Linked DNA regions of Tamandua tetradactyla. The protein of the gene in region 1 purifies or fractionates together with the protein of each later gene. This does not show direct contact. Links are inferred from orthologs where the notes say so. Each region holds a gene or a part of one and is shown on either strand. Other genes may lie near its edges.

The links.
Region 2: the proteins of PPP2R2D (region 1) and CDCA4 purify together in Homo sapiens (affinity purification with mass spectrometry; 3 studies listed by BioGRID and IntAct, counting the BioPlex papers as one, with this or other methods). This does not show direct contact. The link is inferred for Tamandua tetradactyla from reciprocal best matches to the Homo sapiens genes PPP2R2D and CDCA4.

What each region holds. Positions count from the first base shown.
Region 1 is NC_135339.1:94,499,191-94,506,969, reverse strand, and holds the start of PPP2R2D (serine/threonine-protein phosphatase 2A 55 kDa regulatory subunit B delta isoform), read right to left. Parts: upstream 3,081-7,779; 5' UTR 3,054-3,080; coding exon 3,047-3,053; intron 2,965-3,046; coding exon 2,872-2,964; intron 1-2,871. UniProt on the Homo sapiens protein: Substrate-recognition subunit of protein phosphatase 2A (PP2A) that plays a key role in cell cycle by controlling mitosis entry and exit. Involved in chromosome clustering during late mitosis by mediating dephosphorylation of MKI67.
Region 2 is NC_135340.1:87,618,577-87,626,658, reverse strand, and holds the start of CDCA4 (cell division cycle-associated protein 4), read right to left. Parts: upstream 3,096-8,082; 5' UTR 3,024-3,095; exon of another isoform or gene 2,960-3,023; intron 1-2,959. UniProt on the Homo sapiens protein: May participate in the regulation of cell proliferation through the E2F/RB pathway. May be involved in molecular regulation of hematopoietic stem cells and progenitor cell lineage commitment and differentiation.

The DNA.
Region 1 (7,779 bases):
TCTGGAAGCCCTCCTGGTTTGCATGTTTTGGATCTTGCTCACCTAGGCATAAATGTTCCATTTATCCCACCTTCCAGGCAGTCCGATGACTGATGACCAGAGGCCTGTCACCACTGTCAGTCAACATTCTTGCTGCCAGCAGGACAATTACTAACCTTCTTTAAGCCCTGATCTCCTCCTAATTACAGAGAGAGAGAGATGGGAAAACAATGATCTCACACACAGCATTACTGACTCTTAGCACTAAGGCTGACCTGACCCACAGAAAAACCCAATTCTTAAAAAAAACAAGCCAAAAAATACATTTTACACAGTCCAATACTTTCATCAGGAGTTATGATTAAAGAACCTAGAAATTACTAGTTTTAAAAACAAAAAGGAAACCAAAACCAAAAGCCTCTTTCCTTTTTATTCATTCCACAACCTTCAAAGTCAAAAGTGCTTACTTTTAACCCCTATTCCCCATCCTCTCTAAGAGCTGTTGTTATCAAAAGAAGAAACGGACCCAAGCCTCAATGTCCCTTGGACTTTCTTCTTCATACCTATCCATCACAGGGAGACGCAGAAAGACAGTCTAAAGTGTAAGATTAAGGTCGAACTCTGGGGAGTAGTTTGAACCAGAACAAAACCTCAAGAGCAAAATACCTCACAAACCACAAATAAATTTTACTACACCTTCAATTGTTCAGTGAAAGTTGCAGCCTCTCCTGAATCACTCATTTCCTATTAATTTCCTCTAATGAAAATTTCTTTCACTTCAAGGTTGAGTTTGAGACACAAATTCTGCAAATCACATTACCCAACTTTCTAATGATTGCTTTTTCCTTCATCACTAACTTCTATGGTAATAATGCAATTCAAACTAGTAATATCAAAACCATTTGACAAAATGGTAGTGATAAATGTGTTAACCGCAATCAGTTACTCAAGTTAAACATATGGATTAAAACAGAAAGCTTCAAACACATACATTAATTTAAAAAGTGGGTCATCACCACAAGCAATTTAGAAAAAGTCAACAACCTGAATTATAAAACTTTTAGAGAATTAAAAATAAGGGTTTGAAATTGCAAAAACTTCCGATCAGTTTAATTTAGAGAACAAAACATTTTTGTAATGATTTTTAAAGAGAATAATGCCATTTTTGAGATGTCACATTCAAAAATGTCACATTCAAAAAAAAATACACACGCACACTCTACAAGGACATGGGCTTTATGGGGAACGCGAGGGCGGCACGAGAGACTCCCAGGTTCCACACCCCCACATAAGACTCTGAGCCTTGGCCCGCGGAACGCTAAAGTCACATTTAATTTTAATTCATTCAGCTTGGTGAAAAAGCTTCTAAATGAGAAAGAAATGGGAACTTAGAGCAGGCATGAAGACTCCTCACACACACACATACTCCTTCCTCCTGAGATAAGTCACTACTTCATTCCAGTGAGGCTCAGCTCTCACTCACCTGGCACATGCAAAATGAAACAAAAAGAACAACTATGTCCAATTAATATAAAAGAAACAGAATCTTCAATAAATTAGTTATGTTATATAAAATCACCTAGCTTCAGCTTCAAGTCCTATACATCTTTACAAATTTCTTTGAGGAGAGTTTCCTGCTTACTAATACAGGCACTGACGTCTCCCGGGGCCAAGGATCTCCAGATGTCCTCAGGGTCATGCGTCAAACTAAACCCTGCCGGGGAGAGATACAGGGTGCAGGGGGAAAGGTTACTCAAATGGCCAAGGTGGAGGAAAGCTGACAAGACATCTGACCAGTTTCTTAGGGGAGGGAAGATGTACCTGGGGCAAAGCACTAGCCAAGGTAAATCACTTTTAAGAGAAGAGTGAAAGTGCACAATGTTCAGCAAGATGACCGAACACGACACAAAGTGCCCTGGCTTTAAACCTGAAACAGAGTCTCTAAGAATCACTTCTACATCCAACTGTGTTTAAGCACACATGTTGCGTGCATACACACGCACTCTACAAGGACACGGGCTTTATGGGGAACGCGAGGGCGGCACGAGAGACTCCCAGGTCCCACACCCCACCTAAGACTCTGAGCCTTGGCCCGCGGAACGCAAAGCTCAGGAAAGACATGCCCACGGAAGCCAATGCCCTGAGGTTCAAGACTGGCTCTGCGGTAAGGACACTCAAAATCCAAGAACGTGAGAAGCTCAGAAAGGACCTGAGAGCTCGGTAGCCAAGCTTCCTTTCTGAAGATGAAGAAAGCGAGGCAGAAACCCTGGCGAGGACAGCCCGGGGGTTCGCACAGGGCTTGGGCCTGGAACCGAGACCCCCGACCAGGCACCCACTCCCCCGGCACCGCCGCTCCGCATCTTTCCGCCGGAACAGAGACCCCAAACGGACTCCTCGACGCCCCAGTTCCTGCCTTTACGTCCTCGGCTCCACGAACGCAGAGGCCGGCACTGACACGGCAGACCACCGGGAACGGGTTGGGAGGACGCGGGTTCTCGCCCAGCTCCACCCTGCCCGGCTCGGCGACCTCGGTACCTACATAAGCCCTCAGGCCAGCCGCGTCCATGCCCTCCCGCCCGCGAGCACGACACGTCGGCGAGCCGCGCCGCGCCACGTTCCCCGGAGGCTTCCCGCCGCCGCCGCCAGCTCCGCGGCCCCGGCCGGGCCCACCCGACTCGGACGCGGGCCCACGCGCGGCCAGCCCAGCCCCCGGCCGGCCCGAGCGCGCAGCGACGTCCCGGGACGCCCGGGCCCACAGGGTCGCCGAGCAGACGCGCCGCGGTGCCGCCCGGAGCCAGGGCGCGCTCGGGACAGCGCCTGCCGGGCCACGAGGCGCGGCGGCCGGCCGAGGGCAGGAGGGCCCGGGGCGCGCCCCACGCGCGGGCGCCTTACCTTCGGCCACGTCCTCGTCGATGGCTCCCTTGACCTGCGAGAAGCACCACTGGAAGTCGTTGCCGCCCGCGGGGCAGCAGCCGCCGCCGGCTCCTGCAAACACACAACCCGGCGCGTCAGGCGGGCCGCGGCCCCCGCCCCGGACTCGCCCCCGGCCGCGGCGCGGGCCTCTCACCTGCCATAGCCGGCGGGCGGCGGGCGCGCTGAGGCGGCGGCGGGGGCGGCGCGTCGGCCGCGCCGACTGCGGCTGACGGGAGGAGGCGGCCGCCGCGCTGCTGCCGCCCTGGAATCTCAGCCCCGGCCGCCCAGCCGCCGCCGCCGCCGCCGCCTCCGCCGCCGCCGGGAAGTGATTTTTTTTTTTCCCTTTTCAAAATGGCGCCCAATGCCCGTCGCCCCGCTCGATGACGTCATCCCTCCTCCGAGCGCGCCGCGGGCGGGGGGCGGAGCTGTCCGGGGAGGGCGCCCCCGGCGCGGGGGCGGGGCCGGCACGGCCGCGGGGGCTGTCGGGGGCGCTTCGCGCTCCGACGGCGCCTGCGCACAATCCACCGCGGGCCGCAAGCCGTGCCCCGCCCCCTAGCCTAGGGCCACGGCTCCGCCCAGGGCCGGAAAAAGGGACTCCTCAGTGCCGTGGGCCGGGTTCTTGCCCGTCGGGTTTCTTGGCGTCTGGGGTGACCTAGTGCTTGGGACTCAGTGACAGGTGCTCCCTGGAAGACCATCAGTAGGGCCGCCGCCGGCCTCCTGGCTCTCTCAGAGGGATGTTAGAGAGCGCGAAGCTCTATCCCCAGGGACTTGGCGGGTGGGCCCGGGTGGTGGCCGCGACTCTAGCCCCCGGGCTTCTCCAGAGGGCGCGCCCGCCCGGCAGTGCTTCACGCACGGCCCCGCCCCTGCCGGGCCTCGGCCAATGGAGGCGTGGTCCTTCCGCGAGCCCCGCCCGAGATGCCTCGCCTCTACCCGGGCCCCGCCCCTTCTGGGTCTCGGCCAATGGAAACGCAGTACTTCCGCGAGCACCGCCCCACATGTCTCGCCTCTACCTGGGCTCCGCCCCTTCCGGGCCTCGGCCAATGGGAACGCGGTCCTTCCGCGAACCCCGCGGCGGCGTAGGTCAGGGCTGCCAAGTGCCGCGCAGGTCAGCGGCTCTCGGCCGGCTGACCCCCCTCTTGGACTCGCCCCACTGCGAGCTGACCCCCTTTAAGCTGACTCCCTCCCCGGGCCCTACCCCGCCGGCCGGCTCTGCGCGTCCTGCTGTCTGAGCACGCGGAGCAGGGACCGTCCCGGTCCTGGGAGCCTGGGAGCGCGGGCTCGCTGCTGTCCGACTCTGGGGGACTCCCAGGCGCGGGGAGCCCTCGCCTACCAGCAGCAGGAAAACTTTCGGCGTTGGGTGGCCACGGTGGCTTAAGTTGCAGAGTTCTCGCCTCCCATGCCGGAGACCCGGGTTCGGTCCTCGTGCCTGCCCATGTGAAAAAAAAATTTTTTTTCGGCGTTGGACCTCCGCTGGGCTCATCTTTTTTCCTAGCGGGCTTGCTTTCAGAGGCCCAGGGACAGGTCACCGCCACTTAGGAGATTTTCGGCAAGCGAAGCCGTAACTGCCCTCGGGGTCGCCATGGAGTCGCAGTGGCTGCCTCACCCTTCTGGAGGCCGAATGTGGGGATCCCCGCGGAGGTGTTCCGAGCAGTTCCGGCGGGTACGCGGGAGGTGGTGCGCTAGCCGGGGGTCAGTGAGGAACACAGCGGGTAATGGAGAAAGAAAAATGTAGAAGTCAGACCGTGTTACATAGCAAAGTACTGAAAAAAAAGGGTGTGCGTAGAAGAAAAAGGCAATTTTTATCAGGGTGTGTATTCCTTTTCAAGAACCACTACAGTGGTTCTCTTTGCCTTGCTGGGTGTCCAGGCCGAGGCTGCAGGTCACCTGCTCAGGCCCTGGGTGCCTTTCCATCCTGCTCCGGTGGTGGGGGCCTGCTCCCCTCCCCCATTCTCCAGAGTTCGTTACCTGCTGAGCTGTGTGGGACTCCGAGAGCATCGGGTCCGCAGAGTCATGGCCCCCAAACGCGGGTGCCCTGGTCCCCAGGAGTCTGTGGATTATCCACCTCATGTGGCAAGGGGGACTTTGCTGCTGTAACTCCACAGCCCTCAATATGGGGGGGGGTTTCCCTGGCTGACCCAGGTGGGCCCAGTGTGATCAAAAGAGCACTTAGGAGAAGAGCCCTTCCTCCAGCAGGGTTGGCGAGACAGCGATGGGAACTGCAGGGGAGTCCGAGCCCCCTTGCTGAGCCCGCTTCTGGGAAGGCCTGGGGTGGGGGAGGCAAGCCACCTCGGGGGGCCAAGGCAGCTGGCACGGAGACCTCAGGCCACGGCCAGCAGCGAGACCAGGTCCTGCCAACTGCTTGCAAGGGTTTGGAAGCAGGCTTCATCCCAGGGCTCCAGAAAGGACTCCAGCTCAGGGGACCTCTTGATTTCGTCCCATGAGCTGCTCAGTGGGGAACTGGCTGCCATGGGGTCCCCGGCCTCTGACCTACAGAACCATGAGGTGACAAACGGGTGCTCTTTCCAACCCGGAGGCCTGGGGTCCTTTGTCACGGCAGGAGTAGAAAGCGAATGCGAGTGCTTATGCAGAAACAGGTGTGCTTGGGTTGCTCATCTTGCTGGCCTTCGCCATCCTGGGGACTGGGCTTTTAGTTCAGTCACTGACTGAGTGTCACCTGCCTAGTATTTGCGTGGCAGGGCCATGGAGCCACGTCTGGGGGCCCGTGGGGGCAGGTATGGGGGAGAGCCCACCTGTGCTCCCCACTGCCTCTGCTCCCAGGGGTCCCACGAGCACCCACAGAGCACTTTGCCTGCTTTCACCCAGTGCTCAGGAGATCCCACAAGCAGATAAGGAAGCGATTTGCCCAAGGCTGCATGACTGCTCAGAACCACAGCCCAGGTCTGCCCTCAAGGCCAGGCCCCTCAACCTCGAGACCGGAGGTTGTAAAACGTGAAGTAAGGTAGGACCCAGCCTCTAGGGGAGAACCTGCACTTGTATATTTATGGAAAGGGCAGGTGGTCCAGGCAGGCTGCTCATCCTAATGCCTGGGGCCTGGGTGGGGAGAGCGCTCTCAGTGGACTTGGAGACGTCCTGCGGTTGCTTTGTACCCCCCATCCCAATTCGATTTTGTGGGGCCCATGGCGGCCCGCAGCCCTGCTCTGTCCTGCATGCCCCTCCCCTTTCCCTCTGCCCTCAGAGCAGCTTCAAGGACCTCGCAAGGACCAGCCTTCCTCCTGCCAGTTCCCCAGCCCGCCCTAACCGGGTTTTGGCGTTCTCTTCCTCTTGGGGAAAACCGGATACCTAATAGCATTGCCTTCCAGAAGTCCATTCAAAGGCAGCCAGGGTGGGAGGTATCTCCATGTGGAGCCGGGAACAGAGGGTTGCCAGGTGGGAGCGCTGTGCCCCCGTTGTCCCCCTGGATTTTCTCCTATCGGGCAGGGACTTCCTTTCCCCAAGGGCAGCCCTCAGGTCAGAACCAAAGAACGGACCACCGAAGCGTGCTGGTGGAAGCTGTGGTGTGCCCCAGAAGAGCCGCATTCTTTAATCTACATTGAATATTGCTGGGTCGGAGCTTTTTAATTATCCATAGAGATGTGACCCACCCAACTGTGGGTGGTAACTTTTGATGAGGTGGTTTCCATGGAGAAGTGTCTCTACCCATTCAAGGTGGGGTTGCTTCCTGGAGCCCTTTAAGAGGGAATCATTTTGGAAAAAGCTTTAGAGGCACCAGAACCAACAGAGCCCACAGAACAGGCAGAGCCCCGGGAAGCCACTGAAGGGAAAGCCAGCAGATCTCGCCATGGACCTTTCCAGCTGAGAGAGAAACCCTGAACATCATCAGCCTTCCTGACCCAGGTGTCTTCCCCTGATGCCTTAATTTGTACATCTGCATAGGCTGACTTTAATTTGGACATTTTTACAACCTTAGAACTGTAAACTTGCTATTTAATAAATTCCCTTTTTTAAAAGCCGGTTCATTTCTGGTCTATCACATTCTGGCAGCTTCTTTGAACTAGAACACCAAGTCCTCACTCTTGGGTTAAATGTGCAAATGATGAAGCACAGGTGTAGGAGGGAAATGGGGCAGCCACTAGCCAGGGCAGCCTCCCCAGGCTTCCCAGGCCTGGGAGGACAGCAGACGCTGGGTGCAGTCAGGGTCTTCCACCTCCCTGGCTGTCTGCAGCCCACCCACGGCCCCCACGGATGACTGCATCCTAGTTCCTGGGACTGGTGAATGTGGGAACAGGAGGGAGCTGCGGGTGAGGTTAAGTGAAGGGTCCGAGATGGAGGTGATACTGGACCTAGGGCAAGTCTGAGGGCATCACAGTGGTCCTTAGAAGCGGGGGCCGGGACCAGAGCTTGTAGTTTGTAGGCACACCTGTGCATGTGCACAGTTTGTAGGTCCACGTGTGTGTATGTATGTGTGTGTGCATAGCATTTGGTGTGCGTGTGTGTGCATGTGCATAGTTTGTAAGTACATGTGTGTACGTGTGCATAATTTGTAAGTGTACGTGTGTGTGTGCACGTACATAGTTTGTAGGTGCACGTGTGTGTATGCATGTTTGTGCATAGTTTATAAGAGCACTTGTATGTATGCGTGTGCATAGTTTGTAGGGGCACGTATGTGGATGTGTGCACGTGCATGGTTTGTAGTGCACGTGTGTGTGTGTATGTGTGTGTGGATAGCTTGCAGGTACACGTGTGTGGATGTGTGAGCATAGTTTGTAGGTGCACGTGTGTGGGGGTGTGTGCACAGGCACATTTTGTAGGTTCACGTGTGTGTATGTGTGTGTGCATAGTTTGTAGGTGCACGTGTGTGTATGTCTGTGTTTGCATAGTTTGTAAGTGCACGTATCTGCAGTAGATGTGTGTGCACATCTGCGGCGT
Region 2 (8,082 bases), on another chromosome or scaffold:
TAAGAATCTTCCACATCACGTAAAAAAAGTTCCTGATTCTGGGCGGGCCACAGTGGCTCAGCAGGCAAGAATGCTTGCCTGCGATGCCAGAGGACCCGGGTTCAATTCCCGGTACCTGCTCATGTAAAAAAAAAAAAAAAGTTCCTGATTCTTTCCAGTAGCTGCACGTTCACTCCAACCTATGGAGGTACTAGAGAACCGCATGTCACCACTCGCCACAGCCTCGGCACCACTACAGCTCCCCCGGTACCAATGGCACTGTCTCGTGGCTTTGGGTTTGGACACTGTCAGCACCCGATTCCTGAGCCTCCATCTTGGACTGAGGACGAGGCAAAGGGGGAGAACACATTTAAGGCCCCTCACCAACCTGTCAAACCGGTTTCTAGGAAGTGGGGGGGGGGGGGAACGACACAATTCACTCTTCCACCAGTTTTCTTCATTTTTTCACACTTGCTCACTCCCACTTTACCAGCCTTTACAAATTGCCCCCCTTCACAGTTAAGACTCCGTCCCCTTCTGACATGTCTGCAGCAGCCCCTCTCTACAAGCTGAAGGCTTAAGGCCAGCTGATGGTGGGGGCAGGAGCACTGACTGAAAACCTAAAACCACTCTCCACGTCGCCACTCCTGCTTCCCCCTGAGCCTTGACACACGTATACTTTAAAAACCACTCTGAAGCTTCACCTTTCCAATGTCCCAAATCTTCAGTAATCATCAGCTTTCTGTTATATCCAATGTAAAAGGTGCTGACAGATGGATCATTCCAAAGAGGCCTTCAGGGCAGCTGCCACCAGCCTGTCACCTCCAAGGGCTGCCCTGGCTGCTGGACTGAGGCCCTCACAGTCCTTCCTCCTTCCTCGCAGGCTGGACCGGGGAAGGAGCCAGGCAGTACTAATGTGTGGGACAAGGTCAGCATGGGGACTGTCGTTGAGCCCGCTTCAGTCCCTCTGGATCACATAAAGGACAGAGGGCCTCGTCCTTGGAGGTGGCCTCACGGCAGGGTCTGGCTCACTGGGCAGCTCCCAACAGCATATACCAGCTGTGACCCACTCCCATTCTGTCACCACAGAATCAGCTGAATGCCCAAAGCTGCCAATTCCTTGGGGTGCCAGTCTTCCACCTAAACCCAGGAGGTCACCAGGCTCACTCCTGGGTGAAAAGCAGCTCTGCCCCTTCCACAAGCCCAAGCATTGGGCAGGCTGAGCAAAACAGGGGACAGCGGCCTGGGGCCAAAGCCTCGGAGAGCAGGACAGCAAGAGGGGCTGAAGACCAAGTGTCCTGCCTGGCCCGGGGAGAAGTGGTGCTGACCCCAGCCCCTGGCGCTGGACCCACAGGAGGTAAATCAACACAAATTCATTTCTACGAGTGGATTAGAGCTGCTTTGAAATACTTCACCAAAGAGAGAACAAGAAGACAAGCCTTGCAAAATGCTGAATCTGAGTGACAGGTACATGTATATGTGGGTTCACTTTCCTATTGTCTGCCTGAAATTTTTCACAAGCAATTACTAGAAAATTAGTTTCAAGGGCTTTTGTCACTTGGAATGAAACACTCGAACTTCCTTTTGCCTGAGACAAACCGTGCCACCCTCCCAAAAAGGAAGGCGGCAACTGATCTGGTCTGGATTTGAATGAAGTGTGATAAAACCTGAAAATGTAGAGTAGCTAGGATGAGGCTCTGGGGCCCTGCTCTTTCCACACCCTCTCGCGCCCGCACTTTGTCTCCACGTGCCCGTGCAGCTTGGACTAGCCTGCGGGGAGGCAGGCAGGCACAAGCCTGCAGCCACCTAATGCCCGCACCATGGGCTCCCTGACAGCCCGACAAGATTAGAGAAGGCCCCACTGCAACACACCCGAAACGGGCCTCTTAAAGCAATCCAATCTGGAAAAAACAAGGGAAACTCACCAAGCCAGCCCACCCTGTCCCCTAGTGTTCCAGAGAAGGGGGACCCTGGCAGGCCATTTTGGAAGGTGCCTACATCAAGAGGCAAAACCCACTTTTGCTAACAGGACCAAAGATAAAATTCAAGCTCTCTACTGCTAAGAACCCACACCCACACCTCACTCCACCTCGGGGGAGGCCTTTAGGGATGAAATACAAAGGGCAACATCTGGCCAGGATGAATGGGTGGGTGGATGGGTGGGAGAGAGGGAGGGAGGTAGAGGAGAAAGGGAGGGAAGGACAGATGGGGAATGTATGTGAGGATGGATGAACAATGCACAGCAGGCTAAATGGACAGATGGCAGAACAGGTAAAGACAGACAGATGGTGAGACCCTAAGGCAGCTGCGCAACTTTCGGGTCATGGCTATAAATTCAAGGCTGAAGCCAGAAGGCAGGGGACCCCGGTGCCGAGCAGGGCAGGAACTGTCGCCCAGAGCAACTGAGGATACAGGTGAAGAGGACAGTTGGGGGCCTTTGAGGAGGCAATCTCTTCACACCCGGCCAAGGAAGTGCACTTAACTTTTGTCTTTGTTTAAAGTCAACAATTTGACTGAAGCCATGGGCAGGTAATATCTTTTTATTTAAAATGATAAAGGCTGGGGAAAATGAAGACATAGGAACCCAGAGGGGATTCCCAGAAGACTGATGACTCATGCCCGGTGGGGGGAGGTGCTGGCTTTCCCGCCCGCGCCGGGTGGTCGAGCTCGCTCAGGGCCCTTCCGGGGAGCCCCACCCCGCCCCCCGTCCCACACCGCCCACAGCTCCAGGCAATGCCGCGAGTCCCTGAGAGCCCCGTGCCCGGGGAGAGACCACCCCGGCCGCAGGGACCTCCCGGGTCCCCGCCAAGGTGAAAGGCCCGGGTCCTCCGGACGCCAGGGGCGCGGCTGTCGGGACGACGGGGCCTTGGGCGGAGTTGGGGCCTCGGGAGTATCGGAGACTGGGGGTGTCGGGGCCTCGGGGGTTTCAGGGCATCGCAGCGTCCTCCGGACGCGACACAAAGGCGCGCCGCGGACCTACCTCGAGCGCGCCACCGGACCCCGGCGTCCGCCCCGACCCTCAGCCCCGCCGCGGGGACGCTCACCTGCGCGCCGAGGTCCGCCTGCCGCCTGGGCCGCAGCGCGCTGGTGCCTAAGGAGGGCCCTCCGGGCGGGCGCGGGGCGGGGCCGGGCGGCCATTCGGCGCCTACAAAGTGTCACCATGGCGCCGCCGCGCCGCGCGCGCCGATTGGCCGGGCTCGGGGGCGGGGCCGCGAGTTCGAACGAGGGGGCGGGGCCTCGCTCGCGGCTTCCCGCGCGGGCCGCCGCGGCCGTTGGCCCGGCGCGGGTTCCTGGCGGAGCTCGCGGCCTGCGGGGCGGGCCTGGGCGCAGGCCGGTGCCTGGTGACCCGCTGAGGCCGCCGGATCGCGCGGGCCGGGGCTGGACGAGGGAGAGAGGGGGGAGTAGAAATTGACCGGGAGCAGGAGGGAGGGGGGAGGAGAAAGGGGTGGGGGAAAGAGGGAGATGGGGAGGGGGGAGGAGTCAGAGGAGGGAGGGGAGGGGAGGGGAGGGGGGGGGGCGAGGCTCCGGAGGAGGGGCGCGGAGTCCAGCGGCGCCCTGGGTGGCCTGGGCCCTGCGCTCCACCCCGGCCACTCCGGCGAGTCCAGACGCCTGGGTAACCCCAGGGGATTCCCAGTTCTACAGGGAAGAAATGAAAGCAGAATCCAGGGGAGACTGTTTGGAAAACAGTTTCTGAGTGGAGAAAGTATTAACTAGGATGCAAAATCCTGAAACTACTGATCACGAAACACTTCTGAGCCGTGCGCCGCGCAGACCAGGAAAGCAGCTGCACCACACCAAGGCGCTAGGGGTGGGGGGCTGGCAGGTGAGTGTGCACCACCTGCCCAGGGCCGGCTGCGGCAGAGGTCTGTGGGGCCTGGGAGTGAGAGGGTCACCACTAGAGGGAGGGCAGAGGGGGCCAAGACTCCGAATCCCCGTTGAGAATGGGCTTTGGAGATGGTGGAGGGAAGAAGGAATAGAAACTCCAGTTAGAACGTTGCAGGCTCCCGTGAGAGATAAAAGAACTCTGATAAATCAGACGACATGAAAATTTTAAGTGTGTGACTGTCAAAGTGAAAACTCTGGTTCAGAAAAAACATCTCCTAGCCATATCCCACGCAAAGAATTAAGTTCCTTAACCCACAGACATTCTGCAAATGAGAACAAGATAAACAAGGCAGTAGAAAAATGGACAAGGATATTCACCCACAGGATCAGAGCAAAGAAAATAACAAGTGCTGTGATGCTCTTAAACAAATGAAAAGATGCTCCCCTCCTTTTCACCCAAAATGTATAGCATCCAATAAAAATGTAATATGCATGCCAGGACACAGGACCAAAAATGGACAGAAAAATAAGGGGAAAAAATAAGAAAAGACTTATGGGTGACTAAGTTATTGGAAGTTTTAGATTCTTAAATTAATGTCTACCCATCTACCTACCCCCCGTCAGGCATAAGTGGCAGAGTTGCCCGCCCCCCCCCCCCCCCCCAGCATTCTGGAGTAGCTGATGAAAAGCAGTGATCAATGAGCAGACCACACACCCGGATTTGGGAGGACTAGGTCCTTCTAAGCTCACCCTACACCAGCAAGCTCCCCAGGAGCCAGGGCTGCAGCCCCCATTGATGCCTGCCATGTGGTTGAGGGGGTGGGGGTGGTAACCACTGCACAGGGTGAAATTCAACTTCAGATACCGCAATTTACCAGCCTCTTTTTCCAGCTTGTTACTGAATGCTGCACAGTGTTCCTCCAGACTCCAGAGCTCCACAATATTGGATTCCGACAGTTCTTATACAATCATTCTTTTGGTAAAGGGACTGATTCCTGAAGTATCCTACCCTTCTATCTCCCCACAGGCCTCCTTGTTTGACATATTGATCCTTTGCTAATGGTATGATTTAGAATTTTTAAATTTTATAATGGTTACTTGTATATAGAAATACAACCAATTTTCCTTTATTGACCATGGGTCCATTGATCTTAATTATTAATTTGAACTTTTTTTTGGAGATTATTTTGGATTTTGTACAGTCAAAGTATCTTCTAGGAATTATCTTCTACACAATTTTATTTCTTCTTTTCAAATCCTCATACTTTATTTCTTTTTATTTCCCTTTATGCACTGGCTAGGTCCTCCAGTACAGTGCTAGATAGAATTGGTGAGAGCAGAAATCTTTGTTACATTCCCAATTTCAGGAGAAAGGTTTTAAGATTTCACTGTTCATTATATTTTCATTAGATTGTTTTGGTAAATACAGTTACTCCAATTGAGGAAATTCCCTTGGATATTTATTTTGCTAAGTATTTTATCATAAATGGGTGTTGAATTTTATCAAATGTTTTTTTTTTTGCACCTTTTGAAATGTTCTTATTTTTTCCTCCTTCATTCTGTCAACATGGTGAATTATGTTGGTTAATTTTGGAATGTTAAATTAATCTTGCATTCCTGGAATCCAGCTTGATTGTGATTTATTATCTTTTTCATATATCACTGGATTTGTTTTGCATGTATTTTGTTTGGAATTTTAGTGCCTATGTTTCTGAAAGAATAGCCTACACATTCTTCTTTCCCATTATGTCTTTTAGTATCAATGTTTTGTTGGCTTCATAGAACAAGTCATCATCAGTTCCCTCTTTATTCTCTGGAATACTCTCAATTTACAAATTTACCCATCTACCTACCCCTGTCAGGCAGAAGTGGCAGAAGAGTCTTAAAGAGGCAGTACTAAGTTTTTTCTCTTTCCTCTTTCCATTTCCATTTGGGAACAAAAATAGTTTGCAAAAGTCACAGATCGATGGCTCCAGCCCTCAGCAAGAACAGCAACAACAACCACAGAAAAAACAAACAAAAACCCAGCAATCCAAGAGGAGTACAAGAACTAGATTTCCAGAGACATAACAAGATAATACTCAGAAACCCCAGTGCTCAACAAAAAAGTGCAAAAACTTGTGAAGAACCAAAACAGTATGGCCATTCACGGGAAAAAGAGAATTTGCCAGAAACCACCCCTTATGAAGCCCATATATTGAAACTGCTAGCCACAACCTTTAAATCAACTGTCTTAACTATAATGAGCTTAAGGAACCATATGCAAGGAACTAAAGAACGTTAGGAAACACGTCTGAACAAAATAAAGAAATGGAAATTATAAAAATGAACCAACAAATTTTAGAGCTGCAAAGTACAATAATCAAAATGAGAAACTCGGACAATCCAACAGCAGATTTGAACAAGCAGAAGAAAGGATTAGAGAACTTGAAGACAAGACAATTGAAATTTCCAATGTTAGAAGCAGAAAGAAAAAAAAAATGAAGAAAATGAACAGTACCTGAGAGTCCTGTTGGATACCATTAAATGTACCAACATATGCATCATTGGAGTCCCAGAAGTACATGAGAGACAAAGGGGCAGAAAAAGTATTTGAGGCTATAATGGCTAAAACCTTCCAGATCTGATGAAAAACATGAATGTGCACATATCAGAAGCTCAATGAGCTCAAGGCAAGACAGACTGTAAGAAACTGACACCCAGACAAATTGTAGTAAATTTTTCAAAATCCAAAGACAGAGAGGATTTGGAAAGAAGCAAGAGAGAAGCAACTCCCCACAAGGAATTCCCAATCAGATCAACAGCAGGTTTCTCATCAGAAACCATGGAATCCAGAAGACAGTTGGATGGCACATTTAAAGCCCTTAATGAAAAAACTATCAACAAAGAATTCTGTTTGCCAAAATTATCTTTCAAAAATGAAGGAGAAATTAAGACAATTACAGGTAAAAGCAGACCTTCCCTACAAGAAATGCTAAAGGAAGTATTTGGGGCTGAAATAAAAGGACACTAGATAATAACTCAAAGCCAGAGCCATGTGTGCTGGTTTGAAACTGTTGTATACTCCCAGAAAAGTCATGTTCCTTAATCCTGTTTCAGTATTGCTGGGTATGATCTTTTTTATTGTTTCCATGGAGATGTGACCCACCCAATTGTGGGTACCCAGTTGTGGTACCTTTTGATTAGGTGATTTCCATGGAGATGTATCTCCACCCATTCAAGGTGGGGTTGCTTACTGGAGCCCTTTAAGCAAGAACCATTTTTGAGAAACATTGAGAGCTCACACAGACAGAGAGATCCTTGGAGATGCAGAAGGAGAATGCCTCCAGGGAAGTCCTTTGAAAGGAGAAGCCTGAAGATAAAGCTAGCAAATGTCACCTTCTGCCTTCCCAGCTGACAGATGAGTTCCAGAACCATCAGCCTTTCTTGAATCAAAGTATCCTTCTCTGGGTGCCTTACTTCGGATTGGTTAGAACTGTAAAACTTGCAATTTAATAAATTCCCTTTTGAAAAGCCATTCCATTTCTGGTATGTTGCATTCTAGCAACTTTAACAAGCTAAAACATCGTGGGAAGAAATGAAGAACATCAGTAAAGGTAACTATAGGAAAATATATAAGCCTGTATTATTGCACTTTTTGCTTGTAATTGCTTTTTTCCACTTTAGCTGGCAAATGTGTAAATGAGATTTAAAATCTATGTTAATCAGCAGAGGTAAATAATGGTGTGAGGGACAAGAGTTCAGAGGAGGTTTAGATTTCCTATTTGGCGAGGGTGTGTTCATTAGTTTTCTGTCTCTTGGGAACAGTGAAATTATCTAAAATTGAGAATGTTGATGGGCTGGAGACTTTGGGCCCTCTACATGATGCCCAATGAATGCAGGTGGTTGATGGATGCGCTGATTGAGAAGTAGATTGGCAAAATACTTATGAACAAAGGTTGTGCTGCTACATAAAGGAACAATGTCGTGAGGCATGCAATGATGTGATTGAACATGTGGGACATTTGGTGAGACAAAATAAGCCAGAAACAAAAAAACAACAATGTTATGGTCACCTTTACAAAATGCTTATAAGAAAACAGTGGACTAGATTGTAAGCTTTTAGAGCAGACACATTAAGTTCAGAGTGGTGATTATTATTTCTGCATTTTGAGAGGCTGTTTTATATATATAACCTGATATTTAGGGATAAAAACAGAGCCAAACAGGTTGGGGTTAAAGTAATTCAGAACATAGGGGTACGTAAGACAGTGTCTACATTTTAGAACCATACATACT